Linked DNA regions of Styela clava. The protein of the gene in region 1 interacts with the protein of each later gene in a biochemical or structural test. Links are inferred from orthologs where the notes say so. Each region holds a gene or a part of one and is shown on either strand. Other genes may lie near its edges.

Region 1 (7,483 bases):
TCAGGATTATGAAACTTAACAAAAGAATCATTGACTGTATCAGAGGAGATTGAATCCACATACTTGATTACATGACATCCATTACAGATTATACTTTTTTGACAAAGGCCCAATAATAGTTGGGCTATTTCAGCGGTGTCAATTTTATCTGTTTCCGATTTGCATGTAACTATGTTTAAAGTGGGCATTAATTTCGGAGAATCTTGAAGAGGCGTCTGACTGTAATTTTCAGATTTTGTAAAACTTTGTTGACGAGAAGAACTGTCAGAATCTTCTTCTTTATATCCCAAAATCCAAAGTAATAATAATACGCAAAGTGGGTCGCATTGTGACATCACACGGTAAGGTTCACAGTTCATAAAAGTGGGATTGACAGTCAACATTTGCAAGAGTGTGCAGAAGAAATTATTATCATCCTGGGTAGAATTAAGACCATAGGTATCAATAAAAGCTTTGACAAATTTCAAACTATGATCATTTGGTTCAATGTGTAAGTATATAGAAGACCAAAGGCTTTGTGTGTTCTTTACACATCTTGTTGCAATAAAAAAATTTGCTTTACATTTTCCATCTAATCGTACAAGAGTTGTGAGAAGATCTAGAACAGTGTTATTGATTACTGATTTTGTTGCTTGTGATAAAAAGGTGGTGGCGACATTCCAACAATCTTTCCATATAATGGCTAACTCAGAATCAAAGGATTTTAAGACCTTTGGAATGTGACATGATACAGTCTTGAATACAATACTCAAACACTTTAAACAATAAATTCCAATAATGTTGAGATTTACTTTTGTAATGAGATGCTGGAATTGAGCAGCAATTTTTAAAGCAACAGTGACATTCAAGAACTCCTCATTTCCTTGCAGTAGACAGGAAAGAATTTCCATCCAATACTGTTCAGCATTTGTTACCTTTTTGTCTTTGTCAAACGAAAATATTATTGAAAATGAACTTTTATCATCAAAATTAATCTTGTTCAACAGAAGGTCACCAACTTGATTGGGTGTTGATTTTTGACCTTTGAATTTCTGATTCAAATGAAGGTCAAACAGGACAGAACATGCTGATGCAGCAAGTTGAATACATCCCTTGTTAAATACCACAGTTCTATCTGTTTTCAATCTATATGAAAGAGAACATGATTGTTTTGAAAGCTGCATTTCTGTTCCTAATAAAATAGAAAACAGCTGTGTGTGCCATGTCGCATAATCTTTCGCGTATGCACAAGAAGAAGGGTCTATGCTTCCCCTAGGATGATGCAACGTAATCTGTCGAGAACAAAATTCAATCACTTGACCTAATGTGGACTCTGGTAAAAGATTTCCGATCCATATACATATAATAGTATCGATGCAATCTTCACCAAGTTGGCAACACGATATTCGGTAAGAAACTGCATACCATTTTATATATAAATTCACAGCTGTAAGGACATTCTCCCATATTGTAGGTGTCTTTACATTAGTTAAACCTTTTATCACATTAACAAAAATTGAATGTAGATTGTGATAACTACTAGGGACTGATTGAAGAACTAAAGCATGTGTTAAAGATCGTAACAAAACAGATGACGCAAACTTCGTTTCATTTCCTTCTTGCGTCAACTCGAGCATGCAAATCTTAAAAAGATTGTCATAAACTTCTTTCGTTAAATCACAGATGTATTTTTTTTCAGCCAGAATTTCTTTATCTATTAAAGATAATATCATCACACCGTAATTTAATCGAAACAAATTTGAATGTAAACAATTGATAAGAAAATTTAAAAAACCTGTTACTTTAATTCGAACCAAGTCAACATTTGCAATTTGTAGAATTCTTTTTGTTAAGATAAGTACATCTTGCACTTTTTTAATTTTATTGTTTCTTGTCGAAAGAGCCCAAGATTCATATTGTTTGGACAATGTCCCAGATTCTTTTTCCAAATAATTATAAACAGTTTTGAATACTTGATTCCATTTCCATCCTTTTTTGAAATCTGTTGATTCATTCAATCTGCTCACAAGTTCTGAATCTTCAATAAAAAGTTTAATCCCATTCAAACCTTTGTTTTGATCAGTTATTTTTGATGAATCCAGTAAAGAGCAATTATTGAAGAGTTCAGTCAACTTTCCACTCATATTTTTGTATTTTCACATGATACTGATACATATGTCTGTATGTAAATAACTGCAAATTCACAATTTAAAAAACAATAAAACAACTTAAATGAGTGAATGTGAAACAATGAAAAATGCAACATTTAAATATTCATAATACTGTAAGTACACAAGTATGTAAGATTAACTGTGAAGCGATACGTTGAATGTCTGAACTCCCTAGTATTAAAATTCCCTTTGTAATATTAATTTCTTACAGGTCTCAGAGTTTACTCAAAATAACTCATCCTGTCATCGGTACTGAAGAATATTGCAATAATCGACGCTACATACAGACATATCAAAATTTAAAAACTGAGCTCACGGTACTGGGTTTGTGGAATATCCGAGTCACCCGACTATGTAACTTTACTCGTATCACCGGTACAGTATTGAATAAGTTCATTTGAGAGAGAGTTTATTTCATTTTGTCAAACCGAGAAAACAATTTATGCACACATGAACAAATATCAAAAAAATAGTTTTCGATATATGACTGGGGGCAACGATACAACCTTTGGGGGTCATCAGGGTCAGTTGCCACCCAATTATATTAAATAAGCATAAAAATAACAGGTTCGTGTCAATATATCAATGTCTCTCACGATTTATACTATGTACAATATTTACATGAATTTACTATTTTCAATTATGGAAGCATTCTTTTAAATAATGGGATTTTGCACAAATTGAAATTATATTGCAAAATATAAAATGATCGAAACGAAAAAGAAGTGGGAAAGCAGGTCAGACAAGCTACCCCTTATTTGGGTAACTTGTTTTATTGAATGAATTTAAGTTAAACATATCAAGTGTGATTTTGAACAAGCAAATATGGGTAGAGTTCTATTCTACACACACTAGTGCAATGTAATCAGGAGCATGGGTTGAGCGGTCTTACTACTTACTGAATACAGCGCGAAACATTGCAAAGAGCGCAAAACAGCGCGAAACAGCGGAAAACAGAGGGAAACAGCGCAAGACAGAGGGAAACAGTGTGAAGCAGAAAAAAATTTTGCAATGAGTTCGGGGCACCTTGTTTTGAGTTGGAGTACCACGGCAGCAAATTGAAAACACAAAGCAGCCCCTGCTGGTGACACATTTTGGGTACCATAATTTAGAACATTTTCCATATGGATATGGTTGGCTTTGGGGTTAGGGTTAGATAAAAAGGAACCTCCAGAAGTATGTGCACCAAGATGGCGCACAACCTGCAGGCTTGCAAATCTACGCGAGTACGCGAGTCATACTCTAGTCTAGACTCGCGTATTTTGCCCTACCCGAGTCTAGCTATTACTCCCGTAAAAAACGTCATTACTCGCGTCCAGCAGTACACGAGAGTCCGAGGCGATTTTTTCCGCCGCCTCTCTCTCTTTATTCTTTAGTGACGTAAAATCGTTTGCGGGCGATGGTTTATGATGTCACAATAGTACATTACAGCGAAAAGCGAGGAATCAAGCACGGGCATGCCTCCAGACGACTTGGCGTTGGCGAATGCAGAATGTTCCCTTGTAATAAGGCAGACTGCGAATGCGTATTATGAATTTAATAGAAGTGTTGCAGACTAACAAAGATGAGATGTCGGTGAGACTAGGGCTAGTGTAATTAATTAGTTATATTAACGGCTGTTTTGTTGTAAATTACCGGTAAAAGGGTATTTTTGCGTAACACCGTTTTTTGTTTGTTTAAAAATACCACAGGAGATATTATAAATTGTATGATTAGAGTAAATGGAGGAAAAATCAAGGTCCGTCTCTGTAGCGGCCTGGAAGTTTTGGCCAAACAGATTAAAGGACAGTTTTACGTTCGGTTTCAACGAAGATAATACCAAAGTCGTACATGCAGCATGCATTGTATGCAAAAAACATTGTGACAGAATACAGCGCGGCTATGGAGGCAAAGTTGTTAATGATGTGACGACTTACGGGGAGAATGGCACCATATGGATTTTAAGATATAATTTAGAACGACACCTCAATTCCGAGGGCCACTTAAAGTGTGTCGAAATTGAGAATGGGAAGCTCCCGACGCAAACAAGTATCGCTCGCTTATGGGGCTGCCAAAAACAGAGGGCGGAGAACGCCATAAAACCTCTTGTTCGTACTGCACTGTATGTCTCTAGAAAGGAACTGCCTTTCAATGCGTTTGCGGACTTATTACAACTGTGCGCAGACAATGGCGGCAAAATAACCACGTCATATGGTAACAGAGAAGGTTGTAAAGCCTTTATACATATTCTCGCGGAGGAGATATTGTCCTCAATAAGAAATGAAGTGCACAAAAAAGTAAATTTTTTTAGCTGGATGGTGGATGGGTCAACAGTCGTCAAGCGCAAGTTATCGTACGAGTCGGAACTAATTTACATAAGAATAGCGCACGAATGCAAACCAGCTGTACACGAAATTGACTTGATTTCAATGAAGGAATATGTTCGAGTGGACGCTAACAATTTGTACCACGCTACATTGCGCTCTCTGTTGAGTTTCCTGATTCCCGATATAACAACAAATTGTGAGACACCCATTGAAAATCTTGTGGAACTTATTAAGCCTTTTTCTTCAAAAATTATCGGGGCCGGCGCCGATGGCGCTGCTGTTAACTTTGGGCGTAAAACGGGTTTACTTAAAAAATGGGAGGACGTGTGCCCTGGTCGGCTAATCAAAGTACATTGCTATTCACATCGAATTGAACTAGCATCGAAAGACGCATTGACCCCCCATTTCAAACAAGTTATTGACTTCCTTATTGACATATATTATCATTTTCGGAATAGCCCTAAAGAATGGGCCGCCGTATGTAATGCGGCAGAAAAGTTGCAGACCGCGGTTGTTAGTGTACCAAAGTCGCAAGGCACAAGATTTGTGGCACACACACTCAACGCACTCCATGCGCTAAAAACAAATTGGATTGTTTACATACATCATTTCACTAACCAGAGGGAGGCTGAGTCAGATATGAAGGCTGAGAAATTTCTTGTTAATCTTCACAGCTTCAAGTTCTATATCCTATGTCGCCAATACGAGGATATCGTAAATTGGGTATCTGCCACGTCAATCGCAATACAATCAGATCATGACGGGTCATCCATTATTGACGCTATCAAGCAGATAAAACGGTTGAAAATGAAATTAACTTCTATGGAACTTCGCGGCGGTCCTGCAGAGCGAGAAGCGCTCGATGCTTATGACAGGGGCGACCTAAATTGCACTCCGCTTCCGTTCCGTTTTACCAGACACGAAGATGGTGGACAAACGAAGGCAATACGCATTACTTGTAAAAGGCGTGAAACACCGACCGCCAGACTCCTGGAACACGAGGAAAGCGTGGTTTTTCATTCTGCAGAGGAAACCATCATCCAGAGATCCCAAACAACAAGATCGCAATGCATAAGAAATCTGCGTGATTGCCTGGACGAGCGATTTACAGAAATAGAAGAACAAGAAAACATTTTGAGTAAGTTATCATGGCTGAACCCTGAAATCTTGATGTCGGATGGCGGGATTAATGCGTCCGTCCCTGAATATGGCAATCAAGATCTTTCACAAGTCTTTGAGTACTTCAAAGTACCTCTACACGCAGCTGGGTGCGAGAAGGGTGCATGCTTGAAAGAATGGGATGATTTGAAGTATGACGTCCAGGGAAATGAGGTTTACAAAGATTTGAGCACTACCGACTTTTGGCACAAGTTGCACCAGCGAAAGAAGGAGGCGTATAAAAATTTGTTGATCGTTGTCGAGTTAGTGCTTTGCTTACCATTCTCAAATGCTGTTGTCGAAAGAGGGTTCAGTTGTTTACGGCGAATTCTCACTGATTGGCGATCACATCTCGGACACAATATGATAAAAGATCTTCTATTAATTGCCACGCGAAAAGAACAGTTCGAAGACGGGGCCATTCGAGAAAATCTGGTCAACAAGGCTTCCGCCCGATTTATGGGAAGCGATGGGACGTCTGAACGAGGTCTCGTGAAACGACGTATAAATTCAATTTTAGGGGGGTTGGAAACGGCAAAGCCCAGCTTGGTACAGCCTCAACTAATAAACATCGACGATAGCTCGTCGGAAGAAGACTAAAACTGTGATATGTGAACCTGAAAGCGTCACACGCATTTCTTTGTTCGTCGACACAATTTCTAACCTTTCTTTTTATACATTTTAAATGATGCGAAGTCGACGGGCGGCGATTAGCGTTTAATATTCAATTTCGTTCTTTCTGTGCGATGTTTATTTTGCATGAACTCATCTGCTACATGCGAACTTATTTTATAGATTTCAGTTTGTACGGCAAATGTCAGACTGCACGAATGGTTTTGTTTATTAAAAAAAAAAAAACAGGCGATGGCAACGGCGACTGCCGTTTATTAAAGTTCCTCCCTTTATTTTGCAAAACTTGAGTTATTATTTTCTTTGTAGGGTAACTTGTTGAGAGTTATTCACATGGTTGATTACCCCGATATATAATTAGGTCATTTACGTCGTGCGGGGAAAACGGCGTCGCAGAGCACGCAGCTATCTTGATTAGTATTTAATGAGACGCTCGCAAGTAGCAATATCGCAGAACGAGGGTACCGACGGAGTAGTGTTTATCGAGCGAAAGTAGGTGTGTAGATAGTGTGTGCGTAGATATAATTAGACACATTGACTCGTGCCTGACTCGCGTAACATTTTCCTGGGACGGGAGTATATGTGACGTCACTATGACGTCATTGAATCTTTCGAATTCCGTTAGGAGGTCGACGAGAGTATGCCTAGACTCTCGCTTTCGGGCGCGGATTTGCAAGCCTGACCTGAAAATAGTATGTGTGTGTGTGTAGCGGATTCAGGTTGTGCGACATATTGCTGCACATACTTCTGGAGCACCAAAAATGTAGATAAAATTTCGCATGATGACCTATAATCCGGTACATAACCTTGTAAATATGCCGGAAATAGCGCCATAAAACCATGGCGAGAGGCGCCGTGGTTCTTTCGTGGCAGGAGGTGGTAATGACTGCGTCTCCTGTTTTGCGCTGTTTTCCTCTCTTTTGCGCTGTTTCGCGCTATTTTGCGCTCTTTGCGGTGTTTCGCGCTGTATTCAGTAAGTAGTAAGACCCTGGGTTGAGTCATCAAAACAAATTAGAATTTGGTTTAAACAACAAAAAAATGCATTCCAAAAATGCAATACATGCAAATGTATTTGCAAATGTAGAAAGTCAGGAAATGTCAGAATGTTAATAGTAGAAAATAATACAACCTTGCACATGTGAATTTATCAATGACAGCAATATTTACCGATACCGGTACTGCTCAATACAGTAATACCGGTACCGGTCAGCCGGGTACCGCAATATTCCAGAATACGGC
Region 2 (7,886 bases), on another chromosome or scaffold:
GGTCATGTGACAATGATCTATTCTTCTTGATTATATTGAAACATCAATTGAAATATCTCATGATATGAGTCAACTATGTAGCCTACCGTATTACCGGATCAAGTACCGAACCACAGTCAACATCTCACATAAAAACGTTACTAGATAACATGCGTCAACTCAATAAATACCACCTGAATCGGGTTACAAATTTTGGTACACTGACTGTCATAGCCGTTTAGGGCTGATGGGCAATTCGACTACTCACTGCACAGACAACTCACCAGGTCTATATGTAGTCGAGTTGTCTCTGGTGAGTTGTTCGTGTGTAGTCGAGTTGCCTGCCTCCCATTTCACATGTCTCGTGACAATGATCTTCTCTTCTCCATTCAATTGCAACATGAATTGAAATATTGAGTAATCCGTTTCATTTCCTTCTCCATTATTGGAACAAAATTTAAAAAACAAGCCCCGCTTTTACCAGACAGCTACGAGTTAGTTCAGTGTCACCCATTGTGTTATGCCTACGGTACCGGAACTGCCCTATCTACAGAAGTTCGTATCTTGTGACAGCGTGAATTGAAATTGCAAGATGGTCCGACTCACAACCGTAGTAACACCAACGATCCGAGTCACTACTGTTATATAACACCAAGTACGGCACTATTCGCCATTCACCATTCCTCAAATCTTAGCAAATCAAGGATTCCAATACGAAACATCGACGTTCGATGGCACGTGATCAGAAGAACAGAAGCGTCCGCAGAACGGTCGGTGACATCATAGCAAACAAAAACAAATCTCACAAAGCCAACAGAGATATTTGAAATATATAAAAGTGATAGCCTTCTGACGAAAAATTTCATCTTTAACCACTAAAAATTTCAAAGCAATTGGTCCAGTAATCAAAGAGAAAAGCGACCTTTTAGATTTTCCATTAGGTGTCCAAAAAGTGTCAAAGAACAACAACAGCATAATATTGAAACGATCGTTGTGTCCATTACCGTGTCCAATAATCGAAACGAAATAGATGGGAGCGCAGGGAAAGATATCAATTATTTGGGTAACTTGTATACTTATGAATGAATGTAAGTTAAAACAGAACAAGATGGATTTTGCACATCCAAACAATGGATGTGTTATATTCTACTATACACATACTAGTGCAATAAAATCAGAAGCACGGGTTGATCATCGAAACAAATCAGATTTTTGGTAAAACAATATCATTGGTTATAAAACGTTATCATGGAACCGGATATTTACCTCTACATCATTGACCGATTTAATATCTCTTTTTGTCTGAAATATACAGGGATCTGTCAATGAATAAACTATATTATAAGTCCCTCTATAAAATTAAGTTTTTTTTCGAACCCAATATAAAAAAATTGCTGAAGTGATTTTAGAATTTAGAGATATTTCTAGAAATATGTGGTTCCGTGCTCGATGAGTCATCAACACTTCTTCGTCATTGTCTACGCAGCAGCCATCTTTGATGTCATAACAGGGGAAAACGTCACAGTTCGGCTTAACTAATGACGAAAATTGCGTCATATTACGCTAGTACTTGTAAAAATAGTTTGGTGTTGAAATAGTTAAAAACAAAGCAGGAAAAATGTAGAATATTTTCGTGATATGTATTAAAGTAAGTTGATACGTAGTTATTTACAAGCTGACGTCACTTAGACCCGGGAATGATGAAAAGATTTTTGGGCATGTGCTGTTGTATTGAATCCGTTTCCCGCATTTTCGTTTTGATTTTAGCTTGAATTTGGGCGATGCCAAATTATTAAAACACTTGAAGACATTTTAGCAACAAATAAGGAGGATAAATTATGAAATGAAAGTTGAAGGACACAATATTTGGGTCACCCCACGTTCCGGCCATAAGCCAGACAATACTGCAGCAACGGAATTCATGAATACTAACCATGGTTGGAAAAGGAGAAATACTGAAATCTGCAAATGGCCTGATAATATTGTAGTCTATAAATGAAAGGTATAGAGACAGCTTACCGATACACTGATACATATAAAATCAGGAAGTTAATAAGGTAAATTAACGTTTTACGATAATTTATAATATTGTAACATCCTGGTCTGTGATCTGGTGATAGTGATCCAGGGATGACAGATTGCATAAATCGTTAGAGACCTTACAAAACCGAAATTTTGGTACCGGTATTGAAAAGTGAAAAGAAAATGTTTCTGTTGTTTATCCTGCTATCGCTGTACTGCACCTGCAGACCTGGATGAACTGTAACCTTCCACTTAATCGTATACGAATATACCAAAAAGTTTACAGATTGGTCTTGGCTCTTTTTTCTCATTGTGTATCTTCTCTTAGTATGAAATAACAAAACATCATATATCAAGAACAACAACTGGAAGTTTTGGTTAGGTTACGTTCACAATGAATACCTATAAACTGTGGGTTTGGTGTAGTTTCGTACCACATGTACTTCTAGTTGGCTTGGCTCAACAGTTTTTGGATATGTCTGTATGCTATTCCTAACCACTAACTCCCACCTAACTATGCTACCAAAAATCATGTCACAATCATATCATAGAGCTTGACAAAGTATAGCTACGATAGCCCAAAATGGCAGCTGTGCCCCTGATTTCGAGCTTACTAACGCCAGCTCTCTCTCATATCAGGATTACTACGACAAAAAACAAGAGAAATAGCTAGCTCAACTTCAGATAATCCTCTGTGTGTTTTGAACGACAATCTGTATATTTTGGGGGGCCCTATTACATCACAGTGGCGTAATTTTCGGATGACGTAATCACATGGGGGTAAGGAATGACATATGCAAAAAGTGTTACGCCATGCCCACCAGAAGTTATCGTGGTACAAAACTACTCGAGACCCTAAAATGTCTCTCCATGTATTGCAAATATAGGATAGCATGCATAACTAGCAAACGAATTCTGTAAATAGCTAGAGATTTAAATTTGGAATTTGCAATTTATCTGAACTGATGAAGACAACTTATTATAGTAACACAATATCATTGCACAATGCTAGGGGTATATAATAATAAAGAATTATGTTTAGTCACCTATTTATCTTTGTTTTCTCTGTTATGTGTTTTCCATAACAATTTAATTTTGTTTTGATTCATAGCTTGACAGGGGCGCTAATATTTTCTTGTTGAAATGATGATATGACAAATGGTCATTAATAAATAACTTGCAAAGTGTGTTTTTACTTCCACTTTCTTGTATTGACATTATGATGACATTGTCTTTAGCATCTTAATGGGAACGTTTCCTGATAAATAATTTTGTTGGATTCATGTTGTTAATATTTTAGGAATTATTGAAAATTTAAAGGAATGTTTCAGACTTATTTCATTTTCAAGATGAAATAACATGTCGCCCAGTTGTTTCAGATTAATTTACTGCTTAGATTACCTGGAATATGTGAATTGTGATTTTGCCCATAAACAGGAAGAAAGAATTTTATGAAGATGTTTTCTTTACTCCTCATTATCATCGTATTAACTGTAGAAACAACCCTACTAAGATAGTTTTCCAAATTTCTGGAATATCTCTGTTCATGCAATAAAGGGCAAAACTGTAACAACATTTCATGCAATCTAACGTGTGATAATAGTAAGAAAGTAAAGGGAGTATATGAATGGAATCGATAACATCGTTAATTTGTGAATATTGCTATTCTATCTTTGAATGATATTGAGCCATTCTTCAAGTATATTCATGTACCGTAAGTATCCCATCATCTCGATCAAATTTTTTATTACCCATATCGATCAAAATTTGTCACATTTTGATATCATGTATTCTTGGCATTGTGATATGAAGTAGAAATAAATATATATAAAGATAACATCATGAAACTTATGTTTTAACCATTCATATGTTGAGTTCATGAATTGGCCAGAGAAATATCAGAACCAATTGAAGCCGGTCTCATCGAAAATGAAATACTTCTGGTCTTCTATACACCTTGTCATAGTAAACCAGAACAATCTAGCTGAAAAGGGGCACTTTTGACTTGCCTCGTCCTACTAACAGCCTTCATATTTCATAATGTAATTGTATTAACTCGTGTATTGAAGAGACATTTTTTGAGTACTTCTATTTTTTCATGTTTTCACTCAATAATCATTCCATGCTTTGAAAATTACTGAACTGTAATTACCGGTAAGATATGTTTAAGTTAGACAACAGATGATAAGGAAAAATATCCAATTGTTTTAATGTCATTTTATCCAATACCACATGCTATTCTATTTACCGTTATACTTTTATCAAAGTTATATTAGTTTCTATTCAAGGAGGCTATTTAATATTGCCCAAAATTTTATCAATTTGGATAATAGGGCAGTTCAATTATCAGGTTAAGTCAATTGAAAAAATAATGGTATTCTGAAGAATAGAATTATCCCAAAAAATTATTTAACTTAATAATACTAGTCGAAACAATGTTGGTTGTTTTCGTCTGGTACATTCTCACAATCAATTCCAAATTTAACATCTGTGCCATGCTAATATGTTACTGCTTGAGTCTAGTAGAACATGGATTTCATTGGGTGACAAACTGATGGTGTGAGTAAGTAAATCGGTTTTCAGACTAGAGGTAAGTATATTGAAACTAATAATAAGCAGAAACTACATAGCTTACGCCGAAAATATGATTGAGGCCATTCTACTCAATCGCTTTGCATATCTATGTTAATAAATATAACAATTTAGTGGTTGGTCAATTTCTTTGAGATTGTGTTTTTGCTTTAGGTTTTGTTATTTTATTAGACTGTGTTATACTAATATAAACAGTAGAAAGAACAACTTTTATTATCGATATGATTCTCTTTCACCTATAAACTCAGCAATGGAAAGCGGAACACAAAGTGTTATCACATCTAATCAACAATCTGTTATTCAGTCACCTAATCAACTGAACAACGGAACTGATTCTGCCAGGAATACTTCATCGGAAGACACCCAGGCTAATTCTGACACAGCTAAAAGACAGCGGGAAATCCTTTCTAGGCGTCCTTCTTATAGAAAAATATTGAGTGACCTGTCAAGTGATAGCCCTAGTGGAATTAATCCCGCCGTGAAAATGGAAGTGCTAAGCGAAAATAAGTCCTCTGAAGAATCTGAATCAGAGTCTGACTTGAGTGCAATCTCAATCAATACACCGACAATAGCATACCAAACGAGTACGGGCACTGTTACTATTCAACAGGCTCCACAAACGATACAGATATCTACACCTTCCATAAGCGACCAATCTGACATGCAAACTTTTTCTGTGGCAAATGCTCTGAGTCAGGGACAGGCTATAGTGCAGCAAGATGGTCAGCTGTGGGTGCCTGGAAGTCATGTTGTTGTCCAAGGCAGTGGTGGTGATCTTCAGGCATACCAAATTCGCTCAACAGGTGGTGGCCAGCTTTCTGTTGTATCTGGTAATTCACCGTCCAACACAGTGCAAACGCCGCAGCAAATGGCAGAAGAAGCATCCCGAAAACGAGAGCTAAGATTAATGAAGAATAGAGAAGCAGCAAGGGATTGTCGACGCAAAAAGAAGGAGTACATTAAGTGTCTGGAAAACAGGGTACAGGTACTGGAAACTCAAAATAAGGCACTTATCGATGAACTTAAGACATTAAAAGAGATGTACTGTGCAAAGGACATGTGATCTTAAATACAGGACAGGAATGTTAGACATCCTGTTTGTCCGATAGCTTGCTCAAGCCTATAACTGGCAGTGTTAATAACAGCTGAATATTTGTCAGACTGAGTTTATATTGAAAATGCCCACTCGCATTTTTGGAATTGCAAACTATGTTAAATGAAGCCTCAACTTCACCAGTTTTAGTACTTCGATTTTAATGAAGTATAATATAGTTGGTAGCATCGAAACCTAACACAAATTTAATGTAATACAAATCAAATAATAATACAATTGTATCTTCAACTAATCTTGTTTTGTGATAATAATTTTATAAAATACATATGTATAAGGAAGGTTTGACTTGATAGTATCAATATCTTTCAGATTTACAATAAGGAAAAGTCAATATATACTTGTGAAGTTATTGTATCATTAGGACTTTAGTAGTACTTCCTAATTATTCTCACAAATCTGTATTTTTTGAAAGACTGCTTTTATTTTAAATCTATAAAATGTATCTTCCGAGATCAATTGAGACGAAAGAAAAAAATTTAGTGGATATATTGCTATTTTATAAGGTCTTGAGATTTTAAACTGAACTACTTTTGTGCACCTAGTGTCTGTCTTGATTCCTACTTGAAGATGATCATCTTAAAAATTTATATACCGTAAGATGCGGAAACTTTTATTTTTCGAAACTTCGAACTGGTATTTAATCGGTTATGAATTCTGTAATCCCAAATATTTGTTTGAAGTTGCAGATGGTGATATGTTGTGATTTGAATTGGTGATTCTTATTATCATTTTCTCACTGCATATTGTACATATAGATTATTTTATTTGCAGTGCAGTTTTATTGTTGCCTGTTTTCCTTGTAATTATATTTTTGCAGGGTTACTAGCATTTTTGTTGCAAGTTTATATCTGCCATGCATTGGCCAGAATTAATTTTGTAACCAAAACCTTCTGTTTTTAAGTACCAGTAATTAAGATTTTTGCATTTCAAAAAAAATTTCTAGCTTTTTCATCTAATTTCATTTGAATTTTGATTTGCAAGAGAAATTGATGGAAAATATTCAATTCAATGACACAAGATGACTAAAGCACTTGAAAGCTGCTTATTTAGGGACTTATTCACTCAGTTTTTCAATATTTCAAGTATTTTCAATAGCCAAACTCAATTCCAAAAACTTCGCCATTTTTATAATTTCGCTAATTGCTTAAGAGAGTTAATGTTATACAACGGTACATCAGCATGTTCATTTTAGTCTAATCTTTATGTTTAAAATATATCATTTATCCCAATTTCTGTGGCAGAAAGAAAAAAAGTTATTTAATAACTATTTTTGGCGCAAATTTTAAATGCTGGAATTGAATCATTCAGAACTATCGTTTTTTCTGCCTGCATTCAATCAATTACGGTTTAAAACTTCTGTTCATGAATTTAATCTTCTGCCTTGAAAAACTATCATCTTCCAGGATTTGAGATGCACTGCAATGACAGTAATAAGAATACAGCAATTCAATCAAGGAGGTTGCTGGACACACATACTGTTCAAGTATGATATGGTTAGTTCGTTGATCTCTTTATCTATGTAAATTTGAATTTATGATTGCCTTGAATTTAAATTTGATATCAATGTGTTTGTATTCGGCTGTATTGTTTTGTTGCGTTTAATAATATACCTATTTCTTTTGAATTATTTTACTCTCGACATTTCATCCTGATACTGGGGAACGCAGAGCCAATGTAGTACAAAATGCAAATTTGTAGTCTTTTTTTTCAATAACCCTCAATCGTAAGCCACAATTCACAATCTCATGCCTCTGTTGGGAACATGTGTAATATTTCATAGCCATATATGACTTTCCAATTTCCTGATCCATATTTGAATCAACACAACAGATGTCTGCAATATTTTTATCATACAGTTGCCATCCATAGGATAACGAACATAGGTATTTTTTGCTGATGGATTGCATTGGCACCCTGTCTAAAATCTTATTTTTATAATTTGAGTTAAGCACGCTTGGTTAAAGTATAATCTGTGTTTCTTCTCCAAATGCATCCTGCAATTTACTTGATAAGTACGACAGTTGCATATTTTTTATTTGTGGACGGTGGAAGCAATCCTGACTTAAAAATTTAGTATCATGATTCTAATTGAATAATTTTTAAAAGCTATTAACAACCAGCTGCCACTCCAAATCTTACTCTTGTTTTGGCTTTTATGCAGTCCACGGACGCCACAATA

Evidence for each region. The genes of interacting proteins can lie anywhere in the genome.
Region 2: of the proteins of serine-protein kinase ATM-like (region 1) and cyclic AMP-responsive element-binding protein 1-like, one has a biochemical effect on the other in vitro, tested with the Homo sapiens proteins (2 studies listed by BioGRID). The link is inferred for Styela clava from reciprocal best matches to the Homo sapiens genes ATM and CREB1.

What each region holds. Positions count from the first base shown.
Region 1 is NC_135262.1:13,263,064-13,270,546, forward strand, and holds the start of serine-protein kinase ATM-like, read right to left. Parts: upstream 3,042-7,483; 5' UTR 2,124-3,041; coding exon 1-2,123. Other genes in the region: zinc finger protein 862-like, read left to right, coding at 3,872-6,214.
Region 2 is NC_135252.1:2,241,864-2,249,749, forward strand, and holds cyclic AMP-responsive element-binding protein 1-like, read left to right. Parts: upstream 1-4,713; 5' UTR 4,714-4,843; coding exon 4,844-5,656; 3' UTR 5,657-7,334; downstream 7,335-7,886.